3 linked regions of the Oryctolagus cuniculus genome follow. The protein of the gene in region 1 purifies or fractionates together with the protein of each later gene. This does not show direct contact. Links are inferred from orthologs where the notes say so. Each region holds a gene or a part of one and is shown on either strand. Other genes may lie near its edges.

Evidence for each region.
Region 2: the proteins of UBXN7 (region 1) and TOPORS purify together in Homo sapiens (affinity purification with mass spectrometry; 4 studies listed by BioGRID and IntAct, with this or other methods). This does not show direct contact. The link is inferred for Oryctolagus cuniculus from reciprocal best matches to the Homo sapiens genes UBXN7 and TOPORS.
Region 3: the proteins of UBXN7 (region 1) and NPLOC4 purify together in Homo sapiens (affinity purification with mass spectrometry; 3 studies listed by BioGRID and IntAct, with this or other methods). This does not show direct contact. The link is inferred for Oryctolagus cuniculus from reciprocal best matches to the Homo sapiens genes UBXN7 and NPLOC4.

Annotation. Positions count from the first base shown.
Region 1 is NC_091435.1:82,953,712-82,958,179, forward strand, and holds the start of UBXN7 (UBX domain-containing protein 7), read right to left. Parts: upstream 3,133-4,468; 5' UTR 3,050-3,132; coding exon 2,977-3,049; intron 1-2,976. UniProt on the Homo sapiens protein: Ubiquitin-binding adapter that links a subset of NEDD8-associated cullin ring ligases (CRLs) to the segregase VCP/p97, to regulate turnover of their ubiquitination substrates.
Region 2 is NC_091432.1:195,920,055-195,924,422, reverse strand, and holds part of TOPORS (E3 ubiquitin-protein ligase Topors), read left to right. Parts: intron 1-1,396; coding exon 1,397-4,312; 3' UTR 4,313-4,368. UniProt on the Homo sapiens protein: Functions as an E3 ubiquitin-protein ligase and as an E3 SUMO1-protein ligase. Probable tumor suppressor involved in cell growth, cell proliferation and apoptosis that regulates p53/TP53 stability through ubiquitin-dependent degradation.
Region 3 is NC_091448.1:1,117,205-1,121,581, forward strand, and holds the start of NPLOC4 (nuclear protein localization protein 4 homolog), read left to right. Parts: upstream 1-1,382; 5' UTR 1,383-1,538; coding exon 1,539-1,553; intron 1,554-4,377. UniProt on the Homo sapiens protein: The ternary complex containing UFD1, VCP and NPLOC4 binds ubiquitinated proteins and is necessary for the export of misfolded proteins from the ER to the cytoplasm, where they are degraded by the proteasome.

The sequences.
Region 1 (4,468 bases):
GCCACTGCCTGCAGTGCCAGCATCCCATATGGGCACTGGTTCGAGTCCCGGCTGCTCCACTTCCTATCCAGCTCTCTGCTGTGGCCTGGGAAAGCAGTGGAAGATGGCCCAAGTCCTTGGACCCCTGCACCCACGTGGGAGACCCGGAGGAAGCTCCTGGCTCCTGGCTTCGGATGGGTGCAGCTCCGGCTGTTGCGGCCAATTGGGGAATGAACCAGCAGACGGAAAACCTTTCTCTCTCTGCCTTTCTTTCTCTCCCTGTGTAACTCTGACATTCAAATAAATATATAAATCTTACAAAATACTTTATATTTATTTATATTTATATAATAAACATATCATCTATTTATATAATATAAACATAAATTTATATTTTAAATATATAAAATTTATATTTATATTCAATATATAGATATATTTATATATTAATATATAAAGACATATTTATGTTTATATATTTTATAAAATAAAAAATACATGAGAATTCACATTTTAGAATGCTGAAAAGTTCATTCTAAGGTATGTGGAAAAAGGCTTAAAGCAGGGGTGAGGAATGTCCAGGCAACAAACCATACAAGGCCAGGGAAATCATTTGGTCTGGCCCTGCCAAGGCAACGGCCAGTGAGACTCGGAATTCAATAAATCTATAGCAGGCTAATTTTCAAGCTGATAATTGTGTATGGCCCGCAAATGATGTTATAAATATCCAAATCGCCCTTGGCAGAAAAATGGTTCCTCACCTCTGGCTTAAAGGGATCATGTGTTTCTAATGGCTAATCACCATCTAGTAAAAACAGACCCAAAAATTATCAATAGAAATTCACTGCACATCAAGAACAGTGTAAGGTTATTTGCCATTCTGTAGAATTCCAGACACCACTGGTCTACTGAGGGACTTCTAATCAGACTCAGCAATACAGAGACCTGCAACCAGGAAACAAGCTGTCCAACTGAAAAACAGCCCTATAGCAAGTAAGGAGTCAATCTGTCTCACCATACTTTGAGCTTTATGTATATCTAATAAAAATGTTGCAGGAGAAGAGAGTGAGGAGTGGGCATCTGGCACAGCAGTGAAGACCCGGCTTGTGATGTGCACATCCTGTGTGGCACAGCTCAGCTGCAGCCCGGTTTCCTGCTAACCCGCGCCCTGAGAAGCAGCGGGTGATGTCTCGGGTACCTGGGTCTCTGCTACCTCATGGGAGACCAGGATGGAGTTCCTGGCTCCTGCTTCAGCATGGCCCAACCCCAGCTACTGTGAGCATTTGGAGAGTGACCCAGCAGCTGGAAGGAAGATACCTCTCCCTTTCTCTCCTTCTCAAATAAAATAAAGATTTAAAAAAAAAAGTTAATAGTAAGGGTCATATATGAAACTGCAATTAAATGGCATTTTAAACCATCTCTAGAAAATCTAAAGATACATAAATGTGCACTTTAATTCTACAAATATAATGTAGCATACTAACTTATTTACACAATGATTTTCTGTCTCTGTAACAAATCTGGTTAAACACTGGGAAATCCATTACAACTTTAATAAACCAATCACACGTTTAAAGATATTATGAAAAGCTACCACTCACTCCTCATCACTCTTTCATCACAAATTTCCCTTTACCTACTTTGACGTCATGTTTCATGCCACAAACCAGATAACAACACATCAAACATGCAGTTATCATTGCAGAGCAAATAAATAAATAAATAAAACTGCTTTCGTTATGAAACAGCAACTTCAATAAAACCTGTACTGGGTAAAACAACCTAAAAATCTACTTAACCATATCCTGCATGTCCAAGTATGACCCGGTGGAAACATTCTCTGTGTCTAACAAACCGCTACCACACGAAGTACAGATCTGTTAAGAAAAGGAACTAACATTCTGACCTCCTTCCAAAATGACAAACCAGAACGGCAAAATTACACTCAGGCACATGGAGTACTCGTCTCTCAAATCACTCCACGGAGAACTTCATCATTTGCTCCGCCCTCTAATAACTCATGCAAAAAAAGTTCAGCACCATCAGAGAGAAACAAGACCTAGAGAATTCATAGAATGGCTCAGGGCCTCTCCTCCAGGCGGTAAGACCTGTCTGGGCCCTTCGCAGGGGTCCAGAGCAAAGGGAAAAACCAGGCCTAGGGTTTTGGGGGACACTAACCCCCAGCCGCACATTTTCTCCCCGAGAAGTTTCTGCCGTCTTCCCTATTCTATCAGCAGGAGGCCCCGGCGCCATGGTCTCAATCGTTACGATTTTATTATGGGGAGGTGGGAAACGCCACCCAGGACTCCTCCAGGCCTCTCGTCTTCAGCTTGGGGGTGCCCCCTCACTATTCTCCTAAAGCCTCGGTCTCTAAGGTACTCCTCGGCACCCCCATTTCTGGCGGCCTGTCCCCTGGGATGTGTAAAGGCGCCGCCGTACCCCTCAGCCTCCGCGTGAAGGCGGGAGGGCCCGAACACGCCAGGGCCACACCGATGGCTCCAAGGGGCCCAGAAAGGGGAAGGGCAGGCCAGCGCCGGGGGAGGGGAGGGTTCACGGGGAGAGGCTGACCTGGCCGGGAAGAAAGGGAAAGGCAGGTGAGGGGATGCGCGGCACCCCAGGACTGCACACTGAGGAGACGATGATGGAGGAGGGCGGTGGCCCGGGTGCGGCCCCCCACTCCTCCCCGCCCCCAGGTCCCCCGGCCGGCGAGGGCGGAGGGCCCGACCCATCCCCTGTCTAGGCAGGCAGGAGGTAAAAGGGGCTATCCCTTCGAACTGCGAGGAGATCGAGGAGGAGGGTAAGGGGAGCGCGCGGGGGGGTGTCTCCCGCCTGAACCCGGAGACCCCGACGCCGTCGTCGCCTCTTCCTCCGGAGGGAGGACGAGAGCTGTGGGTGAAGCCCGAGGGAGGGACGCATGAAGGTAAGGGGCGAGCCCGGGGCAGACCCGCTGCCCGCTCTGGACCCCACTCTCCACCTTCCGGTAACCGCGTCTCTTACCGGTGATGGCGGTGAACTGCTGAATTAACCCCCTCAGCGCCGAGGACGCCGCGGAGCCCCCGTGGGCAGCCATCTTACCGCCGCCGCCGCCGCCGCCGCCGCCGCCGAACAACAACACAGACACACACGGACCGCCCTCCCCCACCTCGCCGCGCGGCCTGCGCAGGCTCATTGACCGCCCCCAGGCTCCGCCCCTCCGGGCCCCCCGCCCCGCGGCCCGCGCAGGCGCACTGCCCACCGCGCCGGAGCGCTCTGTGCGCTCCGCGGGTTGGCTGCTCTGTTGCTGCCTGCTGGCCGCATCCTCATTGCAAACCTCTAGCGCCTGCCTCTCTGAGCTGCCAGGCCAGCTTGATGGACTCGGTTTGGAGTCCTGGCTTCCGTAGTAGGTCTTTCGAATGTCTATTAAACAAGTTTCGTCGATAGATCCAACTGCTGATGGTGGCGTTTATCCTTTTGGCAGCTCCACTGCACGCTACTGAATTTCCTGCGGTTCCCATCAAAAATAGAAATCCTACATCTTAGCGCCGAAGCGGCTTCCTAACCTCTATAAACTAACGGCCTAGCTAACCTAGCGCAGCAGGAGTGAAACGCCAGAAACCCGCGCGCCAGGGAGGCGGTGGGAGCGGGCTCCGACACACGGGAGGTTTCATGGAGGATTGTTCGTTTGCTTTGCGTCACTGAACTTGCCAACGCAAGTCTCCCCTCAGGGTCTCGCTGAGTTTCCTCACCTGTGAAATGAGGACATGGCTTTGGCGTGAGGGAAGCAGCGTGGTTAAGTCGTGTGTAACACCGTCTCAGCAACACAGTGCCCCTGTGGGTAGTCCCTGAATTCTGAATAGTGAAAAAACTGTATAAAGGGGGTGTGACCAGATGGCTTTAAAAAAAAAAAAAAGGAAGTGTTTTTGCGCCAAAAGAAAATGTACAGAAAGGACCCTGGAGAAGTGTCCCAAACCTCAATTAATGGTTGCTTCTAGAGAGGAGAGCGATAGGGAGAATTGTGAATGTGGACTTTTTTTTAAATCCTTTATTTTTAAACAAAAACATAGTAGTGTCACACGATTTCAGATGGTATTAGTGTTACTTGCATAGTTTTAAATATTTTTAGGACAATTTTGTGTGTAGAGTACACTGAAATCGGTTGACACTCCCCAAATTGAAAATAAAGTTAAAGACATGGAGTTTATGTTCCAGCCTCCCACCTCCATCTGCATATTGTGCATCTTTACAGGAAAATGGTCCAGTGAAAGATGGCATGAGTCATCTGGAGAACTGACCCAGTAACAATGACTGTGCCTCTGCTGCAGACCTTGCCTTAAACCTGCTGGGCCACAGCACCAGCCCTCCCAGTGGCCTTTTATTTTATTTTTATTTATTTATTTATTTATTTGACAGGCAGAGTGGACAGTGAGAGAGAGACAGAGAGAAAGGTCTTCCTTTGCCGTTGGTTCACCCTCCAATGGCAGCCGCGGCTTCTCCTGGTCTCCCATGGGGT
Region 2 (4,368 bases), on another chromosome or scaffold:
ATTCTAGTGATCGTTTGGGAAAAGGTAATAGGTAAGGGAAATGAAACATAATTTCAAGATACCTTGGTGTTGACTTTTGGATTAAATAAAAAAGGCAAGGAAGGCTTTTTAGAAATGCTGACTATAATAGTACAATAACAATAGCATAGTAGTCATAATAATAACAGTACTCAGTGGGCACTATTAGTCAGCCATTGCCCTTAAGTGCTTTTACATTTATTTGACTTTATCTCCACTGAAAGATCCCTTTTTAAGTAATTTTTGAGAACTATAGAATTAAACAGGTGAACTTTGATATGTAAATTATATTTCACTAAAGCTGTTTTAGAAGAGTACATATACAATATTATCATAAAGTAAATCAATACTATATAATATTAAGGGCATATGTGCATGAAAGGTAGGAAATAGACAGAAATAGTATAAATTAAGGGGAGTGATCCAGCGGAAGGAAGACCTTTTTCTCTCTCTCTCTCTCACACTGTCTATAACTCTACCTGTTGAATTAAAAAAAAAAAAAGTATCAATTGAAGGTTGTGTTTTTTTTTCTCTTAGAGATAGAGGAATGAATAAAAGAAATCTGGAGCAACTATGAAAAGTGTTAAATCTGAGTGGTAGATACATGGGTATTTGGAATATTTTGTTTTGATCTTTTTTGGGTATATATGAAATATTTTTCAGTGAAATTATTAGTATTAATATTTTTAAAGATTCATTTATTTACTTGAAATTCAGAGTTACACAGGGAGAGAAGGAGGGGCAGAGAGAGGTCTTCCATCTGTTGGTTCACTCCCCAGTTGGCCTCAATGGCTGGAGCTGTACAGATCCAAAGCCAGGAGCTTCTTCCAGGTCTTCCATGTGGGTGCAGGGGCCTAAGGACTTGGACCATCTTCCACTGCTTTCCCAGGCCATAGCAGAGAGCTGAATGGGAAGTGGAGCAGCTAGGACTTGAACCTACACCCATATGGGATATCAGCACTACAGGCTGCGGCTTTACCCGCTGCGCCACAGTGCCAGCCCAGTTAAATTATTTTTTAAACAAAATAGAATATTACGTAATATTTAAGAGATTATTAAGTTCTGGGTACCTTTTCTAATGTCTTTTTACATCTTTACAGACCCTGGGAGGCAGGTTCTATTATAACTGACCTACAGGTGAAAGTAAAGCGCATGCGTAGTAACTGGTCCACAGTCACACTGATAGTATGCAACCAGGATTTAAGACCAGGAAATCTAACTTTAGTGCTTGTGCTGTATGTTACTATATATTCCTATGCTATAAACCATTCAGGTATTTTCACCAAAGTATGTTCCAAGGTCTTTATTGCATTTTTGTTCAGATTATTTAGTCATTCTTTTTTTTCAGGTTACTGATATATTTCTTTCCCTTTTACAGATAATGGCATCAGCTGCTAAAGAATTTAAAATGGACAACTTTTCACCTAAAGCTGGCACTAGCAAATTGCAGCAGACAGTACCAGCTGATGCATCTCCTGATTCTAAGTGTCCTATATGCTTGGATAGATTTGATAATGTGTCTTACTTAGATCGCTGCTTACATAAGTTCTGTTTTCGCTGTGTACAGGAGTGGTCAAAAAACAAAGCTGAATGTCCACTATGTAAACAGCCCTTTGATTCTATTTTCCATTCTGTGAGGGCAGAAGATGACTTTAAGGAGTATGTCTTAAGGCCTGCATATAATGGTTCCTTTACTACCCCTGATGTTCGGCGATTTCGCTACCGTACAACCATGACAAGGGAGCGGAATGCATCTGTTTATTCACCTAGTAGCACCGTGAATAGAAGAACAACCACTCCGCCAGACAGTGGAGTACTATTTGAAGGATTAGGCATTTCAGCAAGACCTAGAGATGTTGAAATTCCTCAATTTATGAGACAGATTGCAATAAGGAGGCCAACTAATGCAGATGAACGATCTTTACGGAAAATTCAAGAACAAGATATTATTAATTTTAGACGAACTCTCTATCGTGCAGGTGCTCGAGTTAGAAATATTGAAGATGGTGGCCGCTACAGGGATATCTCAGCAGAATTTTTCCGTAGAAATCCAGCTTGCCTTCATAGATTAGTCCCCTGGCTAAAACGTGAGCTCACAGTTCTTTTTGGAGCTCATGGATCTTTAGTCAATATTGTCCAGCACATCATCATGAGTAATGTGACTCGCTATGACTTGGAGAGTCAGGCGTTTGTGTCTGACTTAAGGCCATTTTTACTTAATCGAACTGAGCATTTTATACATGAATTTATCAGTTTTGCTCGATCTCCTTTTAATATGGCAGCTTTTGATCAACATGCCAATTATGATTGCCCTGCTCCTTCATATGAAGAAGGCAGCCATTCTGATTCTTCAGTCATAACAATATCTCCAGATGAAGCCGAGACCCAAGAACTGGATATGAACATTGCCACTGTTAGTCAGGCACCGTGGGATGATGAAACTCCAGGACCATCTTACTCAAGCTCAGAGCAGGTACATGTTGCCATGTCTTCCGTTTTAAATACTTCGGACAGCTCAGATGAAGAACTTGTCACAGGCGGAGCCACATCTCAGATACAAGGTGTGCAAACCAATGAGGACCTAAATAATGACAGTGATGATTCTTCAGATAATTGTGTCATCGTTGGGTTTGTTAAACCACTAGCTGAGCGGACCCCAGAACTTGTTGAACTGTCCTCTGATTCTGAGGAGTTAGGCTCGTATGAGAAAATGGAGACAGTGAAGGCACAAGAACAAGAGCAGTCTTACAGTTCCAGTGATAGTGATGTGAGTAGATGTTCATCTCCACGCTCTGTCCTTGGAAAGAATGAGCAAATGAATAAAGGCCGTTGTGATTCTGGTACAAGAATCAAATCAAAGAAGGAAGAAAAACGATCTACATCAGTATCATCTCCCAGAGACCTGAGAGGAGACAGAGTAAATTCCCTGTATAACCATAGACACAGGAAGAGGGGAAGATCAAGAAGTTCAGATTCACGGTCCCAAAGTAGAAGTGGGCATGATCAGAAAAATCATAGAAAACATCATGGGAAGAAAAGAGTGAAGAGCAAACGATCCAGAAGCAGGGAGAGTAGTAGACCTAGAGGGAGAAGAGACAAAAAGAGATCACGAACTAGAGATAGCAGTTGGTCAAGAAGAAGCCAAACTCTCTCTCTAAGTAGTGAAAGCACAAGCAGATCAAGGTCTCGTAGCAGTGATCATGGGAGAAGAAGATCACGGAGCAGAAATAGAGATCGTTACTATTTAAGAAATAATTATGGAAGCAGATACAAGTGGGAATATACTTACTATAGTAGAAACAAGGACAGGGATGGCTATGAATCATCTTATAGGAGGAGGACTCTGTCTAGAGCCCACTATTCCAGACAATCTTCAAGTCCAGAATTTAGAATTCAGTCTTTTTCTGAAAGAAATGCCAGGAAAAAGAATAATCACAATGAAAGGAAATATTACTATTATGAAAGGCACAGATCAAGGAGCCTGTCTAGTAATAGATCAAGGACTGCATCTACAGGACCTGACCGAATGAGAAATGAAAAGCCTGGTGGGAAACGAAAATATAAAACACGGCATTTGGAGGGTACTAATGAAGTGGCTCAACCGTCCCGTGAGTTTGCTTCTAAAGTGAAGGATAGCCATTATCAAAAATCTTCATCAAAATTGGATGGAAACTATAAAAATGAGAGTGATAGCTTTTCAGACAGCCGATCATCAGACAGAGAGACAAAACACAAGAGGAGGAAAAGGAAAACCAGGAGCCTAAGTGTGGAGATAGTTTATGAAGGAAAAGCTACTGATACAGCTAAACATCATAAAAAGAAAAAGAAGAAACACAAGAAGAAGCATAAGAAACACCATGGAGATAATACTTCACGGTCCCCAGTTGTTATTACCATTGACAGTGACAGTGATAAGGATTCTGAAGTCAAAGAAGATACAGAATATGACAATAATGGTCTTCCAGACCCTCTACATAATGAGTTTTTGGCTCCTTCCTTGGAACCATTCGAAACTAAAGAGGTTGTTACAATAGAAGATGAATTTGGAGTCCTGGATAAAGACTGTGACATTACCACACTTACTAGCAACTTAAATAATGGCAACAAAACTGTGGATGTTATTCCACCCCAGGCAACTTCAGTTGAACAAACTCTTGACGTGAGAGAAGAGAGCACCTTTGCCTCTGATTTGGAGAACCAGCCCAGTAATGTGTCTCTTCAGTCTGAGCCATTAAGGCAGTTGCCATCTCCACGGACATCATTAATGTCAGTGTCTCTTGGTAGAGACGGATAGGTCTTAAAAGCATCTCATTGAGAGTTTTGATGGTATAAAAAGGAAAAAGAACAATG
Region 3 (4,377 bases), on another chromosome or scaffold:
TAACCCTAACCCTAGCCCTAACCCAACCCAACCCTAACCCTAACCCTAACCCAACCCAACCCTAGCCCTAACCCTAACCCTAGCCCTAACCCTAACCCAACTTTAGCCCTAACCCTAACCCAAACCTAACCCTAACCCAACCCTAAACCTAAACCAACCCTACCCCTAACCCTAACCCTAACCCAACCCTAGCCCTAACCCTAACCCAACCCTAACCCTAACCCAACCCTAACCCTAACCCAACCCTAGCCCTACCCCTACCCCTAACCCAACCCTAGCCATAACCCTAACCCTAACCCTAACCCTAACCCAACCCTAACCCAACCCTAGCCCTACCCCTACCCCTAACCCAACCCTAGCCATAACCCTAACCCTAACCCCAACCCAACCCTAGCCCTAACCCGAACCCAACCCTAGACCTAACCCTAACCCTAACCCAACCCTAGCCATAACCCTAACCCTAACCCTAGACCTAACCCTAACCCTAACCCTAACCCAACCCTAGCCCTAACCCTAACCCTAACCCAACCCTAGCCCTAACCCTAACCCAACCCTAACCCTAACCCTAATCCAACCCTAGCCATAACCCTACCCCTAGCCCTAACCCAACCCTAACCCTAACCCTAACCCTAGCCCTAACCCTAACCCTAGCCCTAACCCTAACCCAACTCTAGCCCTACCCTAACCCTAACCCAACCCTAACCCTAACCCAACCCTAACCCTAACCCTAATCCTACTCCTAACCCTAACCCTAACCCTAACCCTAGCCCTAACCCTAGCCCTAACCCTAACCCTAACCCTAACCCTAACCCAATCCGACCCTGACCCTGACCCTGACCCTCCGCATGGGAGATGGGGGGTCCCCGGCTGTGCGTCCTCCTCTGCCACTCCGCCCGCCTTTCAGAGACAGCAGGCGCAGGAGGAAGCCCCGCTTGGCTGGCGCGGGCTCATCTACCAGGGGCGTGAAAGTTCTGGGAGAAATGGGATTAAAGTCTGTTTCAGCGCAAAAAATGTGAAACCTACGCACGAAGATGGACCCCGCCCCGCCGAGATTACTTCTTGCTCGTCTGTGAGCAGCCTGACGCCTGCAACTCCGCAGCGAGCCCCGGCGAGGCTTCGGACGCGCGGGGGTCTCCGCGCAGCCGCCCCGCAGCCGCCCCGCAGCCGCCCCTCAGCCGCCCCGCAGCCGCCCCGCAGCCGCCCCGCAGCCGCCCCGACGCCCGGGCACGCGCGCTCGCCGAGGGGGCGGAGCCTGGCCGGATGGGCAGCTGAGGGGGCGGGGCCGCGCGCCGCGCCCGCGCATGCGCGGGGCCGTCCCTGAGGCCGGAACCTGCGTTGCGGGCTGAGGGCCCGGCGGAGCGCGTCAGGCGAAGCACCGGACGTCGGCGGCGGCCGGGCGGGCGGCGAAGCTGGAGCGGCGGTGGCGGCGGCGGCGGGAGGCCGGGGCCGGGGCTGAGGCCGGGGCTGCGAGGCCCACGGGGCGGCAGGCGGCGGCGGCGGCGGCCCGGGGCTCGAGCCCGGAGACAGCGGCGGCCGCCATGGCCGAGAGCATCGTGAGTGCGGCGGCCGGGCGGGAGCGGGGCGCCGGGATGAGGCAGCAGATTTGCGCGGCGGCCTGTGGGGAGGCGGCGCCGCGGCCGGCCCTCCCCTGGCCTCGGCGGGCCCCTCCGCGGCGTCGGCCCCTCGGCGTGCTCCCGCGCCTGGCTCTGGCCGGGCCTGTCGTGACCCGGCGGCCGGCGGGCAGGGCCGGGCCGGGCGCGTCCGCAGTTGCGGAGCCGCCTGGCGGGAGCCCTCGGGCCCCCGAGCGGGGTCGCGGCCTTCCCAAGGCCGCCTTCGGGGCTCCGCGGCCTCGCGCTCCGCCTGGGCGGGAGCGGCCGGGAGGGGGGCGCGGGACCGGACACCTGCCTGCTGGGAACGGGCGACCGGCCGGGCTGACGCTTGTCCCGGACTGCGCCGCTTCCCGCCCAAAGTTGGCCAAAGGAAATGGCCAGGAAATCAGAAAGACAGCGGTCACGGCGAACTCGTGAGAAGTTGCGCCGGGAAGGCGCCGAGGGGCTTGGGGTCTCCGGGGGGAGCGGCACCGGCGCTGACAGCCCGCGGCCGTGCGGGTCCCGGCTGCGTTTGTGGGACCCCCGCGGCCGTGTGCGGGTCCCGGCTGCGTTTGTGGGACCCCCGCGGCCGTGTGCGGGTCCCGGCTGTGGTTGTGGGACCCCCGCGGCCGTGTGCGGGTCCCGGCTCCGTTTGTGGGGCGCCCGCGGCCGTGCGGGTCCCGGCTGCGGTTGTGGGGCGCCCGCGGCCGTGCAGGTCCTGGATGCGGTTGTGGGACCCGCGCGGCCGTGCAGGTCCCGGCTGCGGTTGTGGGGCGCCCGCGGCCGTGCGGGTCCCGGCTCCGTTTGTGGGACCCCCGCGGCCATGCGGGTCCCGGCTCCGTTTGGTGCCTTGGCTCCCCAGCCTTGGCCTCCGGGCGGGTAGGAGGTGAGGCTTCCTCTCTCGTTGAATTTCCCAGGCGGTGAGGAGTTAAAGCAGTCCTCTTTGAAATCGCTGTCGAAGTTTTTTTTAAGTTAGACTTTAGAACCGGTTTCTGTGGGTGTAGCTGACTTGTTCCATCAGTCCTTCATCTCCCGAGGGGTGGCGGGGCCGGGGTCCCAGGGCGCCCAGCGGTGTCGGTGTTCCGGGCGGGGGTCCCAGGGCGCCCAGCGGTGTCGGTGCTCCGGGCGGGGGTCCCAGGGCGCCCAGCGGTGTCGGTGTTCCGGGCGGGGGTCCCAGGGCGCCCAGCGGTGTCGGTGCGCCGGGCCGGGGCCGCAGGGAAGCGCAGCCCAGGCTTTGAGAGGTTCCAGGAACGAGCAGACGCAGGCCTTGCCGCTGCCGCGGAAGCGCACCTGCTCGCCAGAGACAGTAAGGAGGTGTAGACGGTTTAACAGGCGTGGGTACGAAGCGAAAGGATGTAAGATGTTTTGTGCTCTTCACAGTTGGGAAACTCGGATCATTCAAGACAGTCTTCAAGGTTGAGAACTTATGGGGCAAACCCTTTTCAGCCAAGTGGGAGGTTTTTTTTTAAACTTTTTTTCTATTTGCCAGGCAGAGTTGGACAGTGAGAGAGAGAGAGAAAGGTCTTCCTTCCGTTGGTTCACCCCCCAAATGGCTGCCACAGCCAGCGCCCAAAGCCAGGGGCCAGGGCCTCCTCCTGGTCTCCCATAGGGTGCAGGGCCTAAGCACCCAGGGCATCCTCCACTGCACTCCTGGGCCACAGCAGCGCCGGATCCGAAGTGGAGCAAACACGGCACAAACCGGAGCCGTTGTGGATGCTGGCGCTGCAGGCGGCCCCGCCCCCTCAGGCGGTGCCCAGGCCTGCTGACCTTCCAGACCAGTCCTGTCAGTGTGTGTGTGTATTTATTTTTGACAGGCAGAGTGGACAGTGAGAGAGAGAGAGACAGAGAGAAAGGTCTTCCTTTGCCGTTGGTTCACCCTCCAATGGCCGCCGCGGCCGGCGCGCTGTGGCCGGCGCACCGCGCTGATCCGATGGCAGGAGCCAGGAGCCAAGAGCCAGGTGCTTCTCCTGGTCTCCCATGGGGTGCAGGGCCCAAGCACTTGGGCCATCCTCCACTGCACTCCCTGGCCACAGCAGAGGGCTGGCCTGGAAGAGGGGCAACCGGGACAGAATCTGGCGCCCCGACCGGGACTAGAACCCGGTGTGCCGGCGCCGCTAGGCGGAGGATTAGCTTAGTGAGCCGCGGTGCCGGCCCGAGAAAGGTCTTCCTTTATCGTTGGTTCACCCTTTTTTTTTTTTTTTTTTTTTTTTTGACAGGCAGAGTGGACAGTGAGAGAGAGAGACAGAGAGAAAGGTCTTCCTTTTGCCGTTGGTTCACCCTCCAGTGGCCGCCGCTGCAGCCGGCGCACCGCGCTGATCCTGGCAGGAGCCAGGAGCCAGGTGCTTTTCCTGGTCTCCCATGGGGTGCAGGGCCCAAGCACCTGGGCCATCCTCCACTGCACTCCCTGGCCACAGCAGAGAGCTGGCCTGGAAGAGGGGCGACCGGGACAGAATCCGGCGCCCCAACCGGGACTAGAACCCGGTGTGCCGGCGCCGCAAGGTGGAGGATTAGCCTATTGAGCCACGGCGCCGGCCCGGTTCACCCTTTAATGGTCGCTGCAGCCAGTGCGGCAGCCATTGGAGGGTGAACCAACGGCAAAAGGAAGACCTTTCTCTCTCTCTCTCTCTCTCTCTCTCTCACTGTCCACTCTGCCTGTCAAAAAAAAAAAAAAAAAAAGAAAAGAAGAAGAATGATGATTGGGGCCGGTGCTGTGGTGCAGTGCGTGGGAGACCTGGAAGAAGTTCCTGACTTTGGCCTGGCACAGCCTTGGTCACTGTGGTCATTTGGG